Linked DNA regions of Rattus norvegicus. The protein of the gene in region 1 purifies or fractionates together with the protein of each later gene. This does not show direct contact. Links are inferred from orthologs where the notes say so. Each region holds a gene or a part of one and is shown on either strand. Other genes may lie near its edges.

Evidence for each region. Proteins that work in one complex are often made in the same cells at the same time.
Region 2: the proteins of Cdk8 (region 1) and Med31 purify together in Homo sapiens (affinity purification with mass spectrometry; 7 studies listed by BioGRID and IntAct, with this or other methods). This does not show direct contact. The link is inferred for Rattus norvegicus from reciprocal best matches to the Homo sapiens genes CDK8 and MED31.
Region 3: the proteins of Cdk8 (region 1) and Med12l purify together in Homo sapiens (affinity purification with mass spectrometry; 3 studies listed by BioGRID and IntAct, counting the BioPlex papers as one, with this or other methods). This does not show direct contact. The link is inferred for Rattus norvegicus from reciprocal best matches to the Homo sapiens genes CDK8 and MED12L.

What each region holds. Positions count from the first base shown.
Region 1 is NC_086030.1:13,914,813-13,919,464, forward strand, and holds the start of Cdk8 (cyclin-dependent kinase 8), read right to left. Parts: upstream 3,181-4,652; 5' UTR 3,167-3,180; coding exon 3,039-3,166; intron 1-3,038.
Region 2 is NC_086028.1:57,335,821-57,340,481, forward strand, and holds the start of Med31 (mediator of RNA polymerase II transcription subunit 31), read right to left. Parts: upstream 3,070-4,661; 5' UTR 3,014-3,069; coding exon 2,986-3,013; intron 2,096-2,985; coding exon 2,018-2,095; intron 1,745-2,017; coding exon 1,648-1,744; intron 55-1,647; coding exon 1-54. Other genes in the region: C10h17orf100 (uncharacterized protein C17orf100 homolog), read left to right, coding at 3,366-3,767. UniProt on the Homo sapiens protein: Component of the Mediator complex, a coactivator involved in the regulated transcription of nearly all RNA polymerase II-dependent genes.
Region 3 is NC_086020.1:145,401,693-145,406,386, reverse strand, and holds the start of Med12l (mediator of RNA polymerase II transcription subunit 12-like protein), read right to left. Parts: upstream 3,070-4,694; 5' UTR 2,819-3,069; intron 2,027-2,818; 5' UTR 1,905-2,026; coding exon 1,806-1,904; intron 1-1,805. UniProt on the Homo sapiens protein: May be a component of the Mediator complex, a coactivator involved in the regulated transcription of nearly all RNA polymerase II-dependent genes.

The sequences.
Region 1 (4,652 bases):
CATACTTACATTTGGTTGCCTCTGTTTTTTAAAAGGAAATATATATCGCTTCTCGGCCTTTTGGCTAAGATCAAGTGTAAAAGGAAATATAATTGGCTTAAGAAGCAGCCACATGCTCATCCTTTCTTTCCCAACCCTTCCCCACGCCCTCTGCCCCCTATGGTGTACTCTTTCGGTGTTCAGAAATAAAAGACACTATCTATTCATGGCACATTTAAGAACGAATTAGAGGCAGCAGTGGTGGCACACACCTTTAATCCTATCGGTTGGGAAGCAGAGGCAGGTGGGCTCTGAGTTTGAGGCCTGCCTGGTCTACAGAGTTCCAGGGCAACATAGTGAGACCCTGTCTTGAAAAACCACACACACACACACACACACACACACACACACACACCCCAGAAGAATTAATTTCAAGATATATAGTGTGCACTTATTTTAACTCTCTCAAAACCTGAAATAAGCATGATTATAAAAGGCCCTTTATCTTGTATAGTCATGCTTTAAACAAAGTACTTCCTTACTCCCTTTACTCCTTATGATGCGAATTTTTTTATCTGGCATATAATATACAAGAAGGGTGGTATTACTAACTCACGATGCCACAATCATTAAGCGATTTCCTAAGCTTGAATAATTCAACAAGCTAATTCCTCTAGTCTAGATTCTTTACCCCATATTCTGTTTACTGGACAGCTGAAAGAAACATTTTCATGTATTCGTTTTAACAACCAAATATGTCCAAGCAAAGGCATCCCCATTATTTAACTTTACTGCAGGGTTCCAGATTCTCTTTAAAGTGTTATTCCTGCCCAAGTTCCTTGAGGACTGGGATATCTCAGTGGCAGAATATACCATTTAATTTGAAAGTAAATCAATACCAGAAGCAAGTGACTTGACCATCTTACTATAGAAGATTCAAACAGCCACAAATGGCATTACACCAAGTCCAAGAATGCATAAAGTTGTGCTTCACTCAAGTATGTCATAAATACAATGTAGCACATTAGTAGCCTGGCCATATAAACAAGCCAAATGGAGTATTCCCTGCGGAAACCAAAACTATCCCAATTCGAAAACTCTCTTGACATTTGATGCGCTACAAAAAAGAATTTGGTTCATCACAACAAACAGAATCATTAAAGGTTGCTGGAAAACAAACCCAAAGGATTACAGCTTAAAAAACAATCCCCCCAAATGCAAATACTCATTTGCAATTGCCACAGATGACTAAGAAATACACACTAACAGCAGCTATTTGAAGCTATATAGTTTCTTCTGAAATTATTCGCAATAGCCTAAATGAAAACCTGATCATCAAGATGTAAAAGGTGTTTAAAGCATCTCCCTCTATATGCATATATACTTGAAAAAAAAAATAGACCACACTCAAACACATTTGGATAGTTTATTAGCTTAAACTGATAATTTATAAAACTAGAATTGGCTGTTTTTATAAGAATAAAATATAGAAACCACTCACATTTTTTTTTAAAACAAATGACAGACTGGTCAAATGTACTATAATATCAAATGTCATGGGAGTGAAGATTTTATTACCATGCCCCAAACTACATAGCACTAAGGGATGGAGGATGCTTTAGCCCTTCTGAAAATTATTATGCAGTAAATTGATTTGGATAATTTCTTTAAATATAATTCATTAATATTGATAAAACAAATCTAGTTAGACAAGAATTAATGAGGGCTCTGGATGTCCCTGCTTTATACATTCTGCGAAAAAGGTTTTAAACCTACAGGGCACCCAGATCGCCAGATTGCCCATCCCCTCCTTTCTGCCCAGAGCTGCATGGTTCCCTGTTGCACAAAAGCACTGAAATACATGATAAACCAGGAAGCTATTCCAGTAAAGCGAAGAGAAGTGTTTAATAAACAGACACTTCCTTTTCCATTATCCAGACTCGGAAAGTATGTATAAATAAGCTCCCTCAAGAAGGACTTACTCCAGCTTTAGCCTTTTCATTTACGGTGCTCATGCAATTCTGAATATGCACTCCTGTGAACATGAAAAAAGCCATTTCCCAAGCAGTGAAATAGCAACTAGCCAAATAAGATACTCAAAGAAAGCTGTTTCTAATAAATCCAAAAAATTATATAATAAGCTATGATAATCCTCCCAATAATTTCCCAGTGTTAAAGGCAGAGATAATATCTATTTGTACAAGGAGGAAACGGGAAATTATTAAATATTTTCTCCCAAACTAAGAAGTACTTTCCCTTCTGGCAATATTACAATGCAGTCATCTACTGATGAAAGGGAAAGGAGCCCATTCGCTTTACTCAATTGAGAGAAATCCCCAGCCAAAGGTTTAATTTTTGTTTCTAGAAAAGAATATTTAAAGCAAAAAGGTTAAAGTTCACTGACAGCTGATACATTCTGCTTTAAGAGCTTGCACAACATAGACTCTATCCTTCACTTGCTCCCCCCCACACACACCATCCACTTTGCACCAAATACCCATTGTTCTATATAAAAAACTCACAGCTAATGATACCTGAATAGCAACTGCTACATTTACATTACAGATGATCCTCCCTGGAACTCTCCAGAACCACATTTACTCGCTGCCTTCTTCTTTCTCCCAATCAAAGCCAAATTTGGTCATCAACTGATCACAACTGATTAAGGGGAAAAGATCAGCTTCTCTTCCAGACTGACGGGACAGAGATCATACAGACCCAGATGAGTTAGTCCCCAAAAGGTTACCGGATAAATCCACCAAAGAAAAACAGATATATTTAAAATGGCATTTTATAACCATCTTCTTTTAAAAAGGAAACTGCACAGGACTGAAATCCCCCCCCACCCCCAAAAAAAGGTACACTGCCCATGAGACAGAAGGTCCTTCTCCCTCTTGCATGAAGGGTTCCTTATGAGTCTGGATTCCTGGGACACCACTTCCTCCCCAAATCAGGCTGGCCAGGACAGAGGCAGTCTTGGAGGAAGTGGGGACCCTGGCACCCGGGCCAGGCACCTGCCTCCCAGCCTCGAGGACACCCACGGCGACATCCACACTCACCCATCTTTCCTCTTCGCCTTGTAGACATGCCCGTAAGTGCCTCGACCAACTTTGCAGCCCTCGTATTCAAACAGGTCCTCGACCCGCTCCCGCTCGCTGCTCAGCTTCACTTTAAAGTCATAGTCCATTGTCACAGCCTCCAAGGCCGGGGTGCTGGGGCGGGGGCCCGAGGGCCGCGGTGGGGACCCGGCCGCGCGGCAGCCGCAGCCCCCGAGCTACACCCGCCGGCCGCAGCACCAGCCCGCCTCACGCGGCGACGGCAGGAGGTCCCGCGCGGGCGCCGGGGACATCCAGGGGAGCGCCGGGCGGTCCCCGCGGGCGCGCGACAGCCGAGGGACGCGCTGGGGGCGGGGAGCGGCGTCCGCCCTTGTCCCCGCGCTCCCGGGGCGCCGGCTCGCGCGCGGTTGGCCGCGCGTGCTGCTGCGGGTGCGGCGCGGGGCGGCCACGGCTGACTCTGCTCCTCGCCCACGCGCGTCCGCGCCTCACCTTCTTCCACACGCTCTCACGAACACTCAGGCAGCCATCCGCCCCAATAGACCAGCGACGCCACACAACAGCCGGTAGCTCCTCCGAGAGAGGAGGAGAAGGAGAAGGAGGAGGAGGAGGAGGAGGAGGAGGAGGAGGAGGAGGAGGAGGAGGGAGGGCGAACTCGGAAGACGGCAACCGCTGTCGTAAAAACGTCGCAAAGCCTCGCGCTGCCTCCGCCCCACCTGTGAGCGGCTTAGGAGGTGGCAGCCGCCTCTTCTGACGCCAGCAGGCGAAAGGGCCTCGCTCAGCGGCGGTGCGGAGATGCTGACAGACTTACCACGTGGACCAACCCAGTCGGCAGTGCAGCCAAAACGCCAAGGCTCTTGTGCACGGATGGCTGCTGTAGCCGACTTTACCACGACGCGGCGAATTCAGAACGTTGCATGATGGGATTGGTAGTCCATCACGCAACGAGTTTCTGCTGCATGGAGATTATTTTTCCCAAAGCCACATCTGTACAATCCAATATAAGTTTAGCAAAAGACACCCGTTAGTGAAGGAGTTATTTTGTATTGGAGTCACTTCTGAACTCCAGGATTTAAAGGGCAATTGCTGCTCCCTTCCAGCCCCAAGAGTCCAGGTTTTCCCTCTTATAGCCTCTACCTGTCTCTAAATGCTACAATAAACCACGTAATTCTACTTAAGGTTTCTCTTCTTTCATCTGACTGCATCTCTCATGAAATTCTCGGGCTACGTGCTAGGTAAGCATATCGTCATACTTCCAGCCAGGTAAAGCCGTTTTCACTTCAGTTAATACTGAACTCTACGAACAGAAAAATAGTTATCACTCAAAGAACGTAATAGTTTATTCTAGAGACAAATATGAGGGATCATGGCTCAGAGACACAGATTTAAGTTACCACAAATTCCAACGTGGTAACAGTTTAATAACATCGTTATACCACGAGGAAAAAACTTAGTGAAGGGACCTGGGGAGATGGCTAGATTGATAAAATGCTTGCCACGTGTCGTAATACGATTTCTGTTGCTATGATAAAACACCATGTCCACATACAACTTGGGAAAGAAAAGATTTATATTAACTTACAGGTAACAGTCTGCTGTCAAGAAGACAAGACACCTGTT
Region 2 (4,661 bases), on another chromosome or scaffold:
TTTCGAAAGTGTTCATATTGGAGCAGTTCTAACATATGCAAACACTGAGGGTACCTGGGTTTAAGTTCATAAGTCAATTATCAACATAATTTAAGGCATCCCAAGTTCTAAATCAGATACTCCCCTAAAAATGATCTCAAGCCCACCATTTCTACTACTATGGTACCTTTGGTAAAATCACTCCTACCATGTTATTCAGAACATTATGCAAGATATAGTGGAGTTATTTCACAACTTCTCTCGAATTTAAACATCTATAGCTGTTACCTCCAAGAGGACACAGATGAACAGAATAAGGAACAAGCCTACAAACGGCTTAGAGCTACAAGGAGGTGTATTTGATCAGAGTATATAAGAAGAGCTCCCTTACCTCTGGCTATCAATGGAGTAAGCTGCCTCTAATAGTAGAGGGACCTATGATCATAGGGAGCCTCCAACAGAGCGGAGACAATCATCTTTCAACAGCTGGGCTGGAGAGACTGAGCTTGAAGGTGGCTAAAAGTTTGCTAACATGTAACATGTTATACTTTTCTTTCTTTTTTTTTTTTTCTTTTTTTTTTTTTTCTCGGAGCTGGGGACTGAACCCAGGGCCTTGTGCTTCCTAGGCAAGCGCTCTACCACTGAGCTAAATCCCCAACCCCATACTTTTCTAATAGTAATTTCAAGCCTATCATTTGGATTCCTAGAGGAATCTAGAATTGCATCATGAAGAGCAAATCTACAGGCAGCCCAGGAATCAAGTCAGAAAAATGACTACGATTAAAAAAAAAAAAAAGGTTTGAAATGTTTTCCTCTAATTTTTAAAATAGGGTCTCTCTGTGTGGCCCTGAATGGCCTGAAGCTTGCAACATAATCAGGCTGGCCTCAAATTCACGGAGATCTGCCTGACTCTGCCTCTTGAGAGCTGGGATTAAAGGGACACCAAGCTACTTCTGGGGTTTTTGTTGTTGTCCCCTCCTTTGGGGCAGTGTCTAGACAGGGTTTACCTGGGTAGAGTGGCTGTCCTGGAAGCAGCTCTGGCCTTGAACTCACACATGCGCCCGCCTCTGCCTCCCAAATGTTGGGATTAAAGCCAGCTTGGCTTTCTTTTCTCTTTTTAAGTCAAAGCAGAGTTTGATGTGATATTGTTGTGTCTGTTCTTTTACAGTGAGTTAATACGCACAGTGATTGAAACAAAGGACACCACAAAGAAAGGCAGGACCTCTAAGACTCTCAGGAAACAGTTCTTCCTACCGTCACAGGTTATGGGTTGTTAGGCCTCAAAACCCCAGAAAGACAGGGGCAGTGCTAAGTGACATGGTTAGACACGACCAAATTACATTAGAACTGTAGTCTACAACAGTTCACTGGATCTTAGCCTGCACGAACAGTATGCTCTGACTTACACTGCCAAGAGAGTAAGCTGGCTCCCACGTAGACAGTTCTTTGGTTTTGTTTGAAGGGAGTGAGGTAAGAATGGTAGCAGAAATAAATGAAATTCCTGTCATAATCAACCCAAGTTAGAGATAACAGCGTCTTACATCAACTAAAAGCAGAAAGATCCCAAATGCTGTTTTCCATTCTGACACCGAGAAAACTGCTAAATAATAGCACTTAGTATTTATAATAAAGTACACACAGCTTTGGGATTTTAAAAATTAAACTTACTTTAGATATTTGGCATATTCTGGTTCTTTCCAGTAAAGCAAGTACTTAAGATAATTAACAAAAGCTTTGTCTTTGAAGTAACCTCTTTGGGCGAGAACTGAAAGACACAAAGAAACACTCTGTATGTCAACCACTGCTGGGCTGCTGATCTGTAATCTCTTAAGTAAAGTAGCTCTTCTTAACATCCCTACCGACAAAACACAAGGGATTAAAAAACACAAGCCCTTGTTTGCTCAGTTGATACTTACAGACCAGCACAAGTAAAACCCCAAACACATCGAAGTAAATAAATACTATTACAAATTGCATCTCTTCTCAGAAACCATTAAGATCTAGTGAGCTACTTAAGTTAATGATGTACTTAACTTACAATTAAGGTAATTTGGGTTGGCTAAACATTGCACAAATTCCAACTCCAACTGAAACCGAAGTCGATTTCCAGCATCATCTAGGAGAAAAGACAGTAAAAAAAAAAAGAGAAAGAAGGAAGGAACGATCACCCAAAATAAAAGTCACAATACAAACATTGATTTGTAGAAACAAAAATAAAACGCAGGTCAAACAGCTCAGCAAGTAAAGGTGCTTGCTGCAAAGTCTGATGACCTGAGTTCGATTCCTGGAACCTACAGGGTTGTAGGAAGACAACCGATTTCTGCAAGTTGTCCTCTAACCTTGGCATGCACCGCCGCTCACCCCCATAAACACACACACACATGCACACTCATGAATGAACTCAAATATCAAAGTGTGGAAGAAACTTCCTTAGAAATTTAGTTTAATTCACTACTTAGTGAGCCCTGTTTCCAAAACAAAAATAGTAATAAAAAAATCCTTTAAAGTTCGTTGAGGAAAAAATATGTAGAACCTGTACGCCACTGTGGAAGGACGTGAGCGGAGATTATCGGATAGTCTGCAATAGCTGTACGGTTCCCTATGTTGTTATAACCACAACTAATTACGTTAAGCAAAAACAAAGTGCTACACAAAAACGAAGCAGGAATGATTAAACAATGGAGAGAAGACGGTGATATGCATTAGAATACACAGGTTACCGACATTTCAGGCAAGTTTGGAGAAGTTCCAAAGAGCAGACAGTGGAAGGTCTCAGTCCTTTCTATGCGCCCCGGCCCGCCCCGCGAGTCAGGGTTGGAGTAGGGGTTAGAGCAACACAGGAGCAAAGTTGGTCCTACAGGCCATATTCTGGGGGGCAACACCGCCTTCTCCTCCGCCGGTCCCAACTCTAAGGATGAGGAGTTGAGCCCGGAAGACGGCGCAGGGGAAGGGAAACGGGAGAGGATTTTGGGGCGAAGGACCATTCCCGTGCAAAACACAACGCACCTGTCTCCATAGCGACGGCCGCGGCCATAGCAAGCAGAAAGGCGCAAACACTACCAACCCGACCCAACCGCAGCCCGGATTGGTGAAGGAGAATCCGGAAGTCACGGGTCCTACTTCCGGTCGCGGGGCAGAGTGGGACACGAGGGCGGGGACAACTTCACTTTGGGGAAGAGTGGCCCCGCCCATCTGTGCGGACCGGGCCGACTGCGCGCGCAGATATCGAGCGGGGCGTGCCGGAGGGCTTCTCTGATTTCAGGTCTGAGTCCTGCTGCCTACTCTGATGTAATACACCTCTCTGACGTCACCTTCCCCCGGGTGGCGTGACGCAGAGCATGATCCTTGGGCTTCTTTGTTCCTCCTGACCAAAGTGTACGGGCAGGATGGCCTCGCCCCTTAGGAGCAAGTCCTCCGTCCCGCGAGTGGAAAGCACCCGCCACAAGGAGACATCGACTGTCCGCATGGAGACGTCGTCCCACCGCGAGGAAACGTCATCCCACCGCGTGGAGACGTCCTCCCGGCAGGTTCTAACGTCTTCCCGGCAAGTGGAGACCTCCCAGCGCCACCGAGAGGGACCCTCCCTCACCCCCTCCGCGAAGCGACTCCCTCAATTCCTCGAGGTGTCCTCCCAGCACGTGGAAACCTCCTCGCAGTGCATGGAAACGTCCTCCCGCCACGTCAGGGCGTCGTCATCCCTGCGGGTGGAGACTACTGTGCACCGCGTAGAGAGCCCAGCCAGGCGAGACAAGCAAGCCACTCGGCAGAGTGCCAGAATGACTCGATGAAGTGCCATGGTCCTTAGCCAGGACTGAGGAATTGCCAGCCAGCTTCCAGGAGAGCCAAGTATCTTTGGTTTCATGGAAACAGCCCATAAAACAGTGTAAGAAGCAGGCTGTGGTTTCTGGGCACTGTTAACATGTATTGACATTGCAGCACCTTAGTCCATCCTGCTGTTGACCCAGCGTACTATTAACCTGAAGCCAGCACAGAAAGGTTTCCGATTTGTAGTACTGTGTAAACCCAGACGATGGACAAAGAGATTCTTTGAGTCTCTACACCAGGTAAGTTTTATAGTCTTAGGTCCCTCTAGAATGTGTTGACGACTTGAAATCTGCGAAGAGGGGCCAGATTTGTCATGTTTCTTGACTACTGGCCTGATCATATACCTGCTTGAAACCTACAGAGCAAGGCATCATCTTTCACAAATTGTTAATTACCCTTTAATAATATTTATATTTCATAATAAGTTTTCTCGTGTTAAGTTGTTATACACAGTATTCCATCTACACTTTAAAAAATAGGTCAGGAGCTATTAGAAAAATAAGGGCAGGGCAATTGAGAAAAAAAAATACTAATCTTGGGAGGGAACGTGAAGAAGCAGCCATGACACTTGGTCTGGGGCGTGAGATTGGCAGAGGATGGTTACTGAGTACCTACAGCATGCTTGGTACCAGTCAGAACTTGTCGGCTATAGCAGTGGAAAAGACTAAGATCTTCTCAAGTGAAGAGAAAGTAAGACGATGTTCTGTTGTATTCCTGTGAAAGATAAGGTATCTATCTTGTGGTAGCGAGTAGGGCGCTCTTTCGAGAACATGGTCAGGGAAAGCCTTGCTGATGACACTTGGTCTGAGATTGTGTGGGTTAGCAGCAAGCCATATCAGGATCTACAGGGAAGTACA
Region 3 (4,694 bases), on another chromosome or scaffold:
CCTGTTCCATATTGTACCCAAATTTGACTACAGCCACATATAACTCTCCCCTCAAGAGAGATAGAATATCGGTCGCCTGGGGGAAAGTGAATCCTAAGAGTAGCAGCGCAAGTCACCCAGAACACAGTGCTGGTTTGGATGAGTACTGCACGGATAATCCTATGTATGCGTGTTCACCACACACTTCAGAGAAACCAAGTGCTTCTGGGCTTCAATCATCTCATTTGCTCAAACCAAAGTAGGAAAGGTACCCTCTACAGTCGCTTCTTCCAGTCTTAGGTTTCTAGAAAGTGACCCAAAATCCAAAATTATTCCTTCCGGGGTCCAAATCCTGAACTGACTGTCATGTGTAAAACTGAATGCTAAACAAGCACACATGCTAATCCAAGCAACCAACCGGAAGCTAAGGAGCTGCCTCATTACATCTCTCTCTATAAACTCGTAGTGAGACATTAATTATAAGATGAGCAAAGTCAACGCCCCATCCCTACCAAAACTTAGAATTCTACCAGTAACGCTTAAATCAACGTCCTTTATTTACACTTGGTCCTTAGAGTCTCTATCCTTTCTAAACCTTAGGAGCTGGGTGAGGAAATGCTGCCCACCTGTAGACTTTCCAGCCATCTTCAATCTTAACTACTCCCGCTGATCCTCAAATTCAATGTGATAAGGCCAAAAGGCATTGCTCATGATGACTTCTCAGACATTATTAACCAGTCTGGGCTGAGCCTCTACTAATGAGACTGATACATTTATCAAAACAGAAGCCCAAAGGAACTCTTACTTGCAAAGTTCTCTTGTGAAATCAGTGGACATGCAAACTTTTCCGGCTCACAGAAAGAGGAGCACACAGAGCCGTTTCACATTTAACTATAGAAAAGGGAAGATGGGTGGGCTGTAGTTGGCACCGTCTAAAAGGACAGCTGGGGAGCAGGTGACCGATAAAGGAAAAGATAGGCAAATCTCTGGGCAAATTGTATAGCCAAGGGCAATCACCATTCTGGCTGGAGACTTGTTACATAATTACTTGTTAACTCCTGCCACATACCTACATAGCTTACACTAACCACTGAAGCCACTGTAAGTGCAACAGCCAAGGTCTCCCCAATTAATTTCATTCAAAGAAATAAGTGATCCTGAAAGCTATTCCTTTCTAAGGTAACTTGCTTGATTCTACACATATAAAACAGCCTCCGGAAAAGCCGATTGCCTCTCTAGAAACAAATTTCAGAGTTTCTCTTCAATATTGTTTTCTTAATTTTTTTTTTCAAAAGGAGAGATACAGAGATACATTCACAGAGCCAAATATATGATCACCTCGCTAAAAACGACTTCCATTCCAAACTGGAGGATGTGAAAAGGGTCCCTCCCCCATCCGTGCCTATACCGTTGGCGCAAAACGCAAGACCACGGTGTCCGATGTACTGCATTCCAGCATTTGTCAAAAAGTTTACCAGGATTTATCGAAGCGACGGAGTGAAAAACAATAAAACAAACAGAAACGAAGGAAAGCGAGAAGGAAGATGCAAGCGAGGAAGAAGCGGTAAAGCGCCCAGCGGCGCAGTGCAAGGCCCGACAACCGCGAAGCGACCCAGCCCCCCGCAGAGCGACCGCCCAGTGGAGCGCGGGGGTTGGCAGGCTCCAGGTCTCAGTAGCCCAGGTCCCTGATACCCCAACCCGAGCCCCGCCTCCGATCCCCTCCGCAGCCCTTCCCCCGCAGCGCCGCGGACGGCCGCCGGGCCAGCTTGGCCCGGGGTCAGCGCTGCGGAGCGCCGCACAACCGCGGAGGCCGCCCGCGCCCTTACCTCCTTCTGCTTGGGGTCCTGCGGGTAGACGTCGGGCGGCCCGAGCCGCGGGCGCTTCAGCGGTCTCTGCTCATAGCTGAGAAGCCCGAAGGCGGCCATGATCTCTCATGTTAACCGGCGAAATGAATGAGAGTTGGAGCTGGAGCAGCCGCCTCTGAGCACCAGGGAGCAGCACTTTGCAGACAGACTCCCTCTTCCCTCCACTCTGGCTCGCCGTGGCGCTGCAGGCAGGAGAAAAAGCAGGTTGGAGACGGCCGCTGCCCGCGCGCAGACGCGCTCAGGGGGGCCGCCTTCGTGGGCACCCCGCTGCGCCGAGCCCCGGGACGCCTGCTCCGCGGGCGGCGGCGGGGCTGGAGGTCGGCCAGGGTCCGCCGCGGCGCCGGCCTCCCGCCACCCCCACCCGGTCCCTAGGGGGAGGAGCAGCTGATGGGAACGTGTGACTTTCTTCACCAATGAACCCAAACCCACCCAGGGGGACACAGGCTGGGGTGGGGGAGGGGCATAAAGGGGGAAAAAACTTTTCTTGGCGCCTAGGCGGGAGGCTCGGTGCCCGCCGAGAGCTAAGCGTCCTCGGGCCCGCGAGGCGCTGCGCAGCGGCCCGCGCCCACTTCCTGGCTCGCCGTGCCCCGCGCCCGCAGCTTTGCACCCGGTGGACCCGCCGCCCAGACACAGAACGGCGGGCGCGGAGGGAGAGAGGCCGCGAGAGGCGAGGATGCGGACGCCGAGCGAGGCCGGTTCCTCCGAGCTCAGCTAGTGCACGAGCTGCGCGGGTCCCCTCGGCGGCGCCCGGGCGCTTTGCTGGCTGCCGGCTGCAGCGGCCGCGGTGGCTGGAGGGGGCCGCGCTCGCTGTGGCGCGGGGCCGACTTAACCCTTTGCTGGCCCTCTCGGGGCTGAGGAGGGGGTGAGCAAAGGTGGCCGCGAGCACCGACGGACACATCCGGAGCGCGGGCGTCTCGGCTCCCCGGGCCACCCCTAGACGTCGCGCGCCCCGATCCCCACCCCCAACAGTTTACCTGTTGGTCCCTAGCTAGCGGCTAGGCAGGGGCGGGCGGCCGGGACGCCCTGGCGGCCGCAGCCTCCATCGCTCCGATAGGGTTGGGGAATTGGATTTGACGTTGCGAGGTGTCTGGCTCTCCAGACTGCGGACGCCGCGAAGTTTGCGGCTGCCTGGGGGCGTCGCTCGCCGCCGCCGGCGTTCTCGCCCCCACGGCCCGGGAGCGCGAGCTCCCGAGTTGGCGGACGGCGGCGCGACGGCCGCACTGAGCATGCCCAGCTTGGCGGCCGGACCGCGGAGGAGTTGGCTGCGAGCGCCTCGAGCGCTCCCATCTGCCTCTCCGGGTTTTCGCAGCCGCAGAGCGCGCAGTCCACCGGCCCTGAGCCCCAGCTGGCTGCAGGATTAACCCGGCTGTGGAACCAGCACCAGGAGGGACCCCGGGCCTCGAGCTGCGCCCTCCGCCTCGACCCCTCCTGCGGTCGCCATCCCGGCAGCCTAGGCGACACCTCACCTGCTCGCATCACAGGGATGGGAACCGCGGGGAGGGGGCGATCCTTTCGGGGAATCTGGTCAATCCACCTGCCGGCGCCCCTCGCTTTCTCCAGGTAGACACGCAGATGCCGGGCCACCAGCAGTGAGCATTGAGACCTAGCCTCGGAGGCGGGCCCAGTGTGTCCTAAGGGACCCTGCAGGAGGCGCGCCCAGGAGAAAGCGCCAGCACTTGGCCAAGAATGATGGCTGCCATTTATGGAGTCTTCCTTTGGTTGTATGATCTTGAGGGTCTGAATTTGCTTCTAACAACAAACCCTCCAAGGTTTGACTTCAACCTCTTTATAAATGAAGGAAATTGTGTGAGCTCAGAGAGCTTAGATGACTTGTTCAAAGCTGCAAAAGCTAGTCGGAATTTGAACCTACCACTGCTGGAGCTCAGGTTTCTGACCTCACTCTTCTGCTTTGATCGGGAAAGGCTGTGTGCTTGATCTGCCCTTGGCCTGATTGTGTCGCATTCCCCATAACTTGAGGAATGTTTTAGACTCCTAGTTCCCAGCTCTGGAGAAGATGCACACAGAACTACCTGCAGCCTTTCTATAGTACCTGGTACATGTTGATGATATACTATTTGCTGGCTCTAACCCAAGGGAAGGAAGAAGGAAGTGGATAAGACGATGGCATTGTAGAAGACTAGTTCTTCATTGCTCACCCTCTGAACTACGAGTATCTCCAACCTAGCCTAAAACCTAAATGGGGCTCTATGAGGCTAAATCCGTCACTCAGTGTGAGCTAGGCCTTCTACAGTATACTTGCCTTCACCAAGATGGTTGGTTTCCTTCCACTGCCCACCCTGCCATGAACATTTCTCATCTAATACGCTATATGTAATAACTTCACGGTGCAGTTTGCCTTGTGTTATAGCATACGTCAAATCCAAATCTTGCTTGGAAGAAAATACAGTTTTTATTCATATCTAACTTTATTAGAAAATGTATTGAGCTTACCAAAAAGTGAAGAAAGTATATAATAAATCCCGAGTATTTATCATCTGTAATGATGTTTCACCATCTTTATTCCTCATACTTTCCCCATTCTCAGTGGACTGTAGTTCTCACTGATACAGTAAGGACAATATTTTCATTATTGCACGAGGTACACAGCATAGCATTTGGCACATCTCAAAAAATTGTCGATTTGCGGGATGGATAATAGATGGTTGAATGGGTAAATGGACTTAGGAGGTCATCCCAAGTAATACTTTACAGGTACTATATGATGCTACTCAGTCTGAAGTCTATTGGTAAGATACATGCCTAGTTTTCCTCAGGGATAACTCACGGCAGAATAACCCCACGAAGCACTTTTGCACAGGTTTCCTTTGCCTGTATACCCTCTATGCAGAC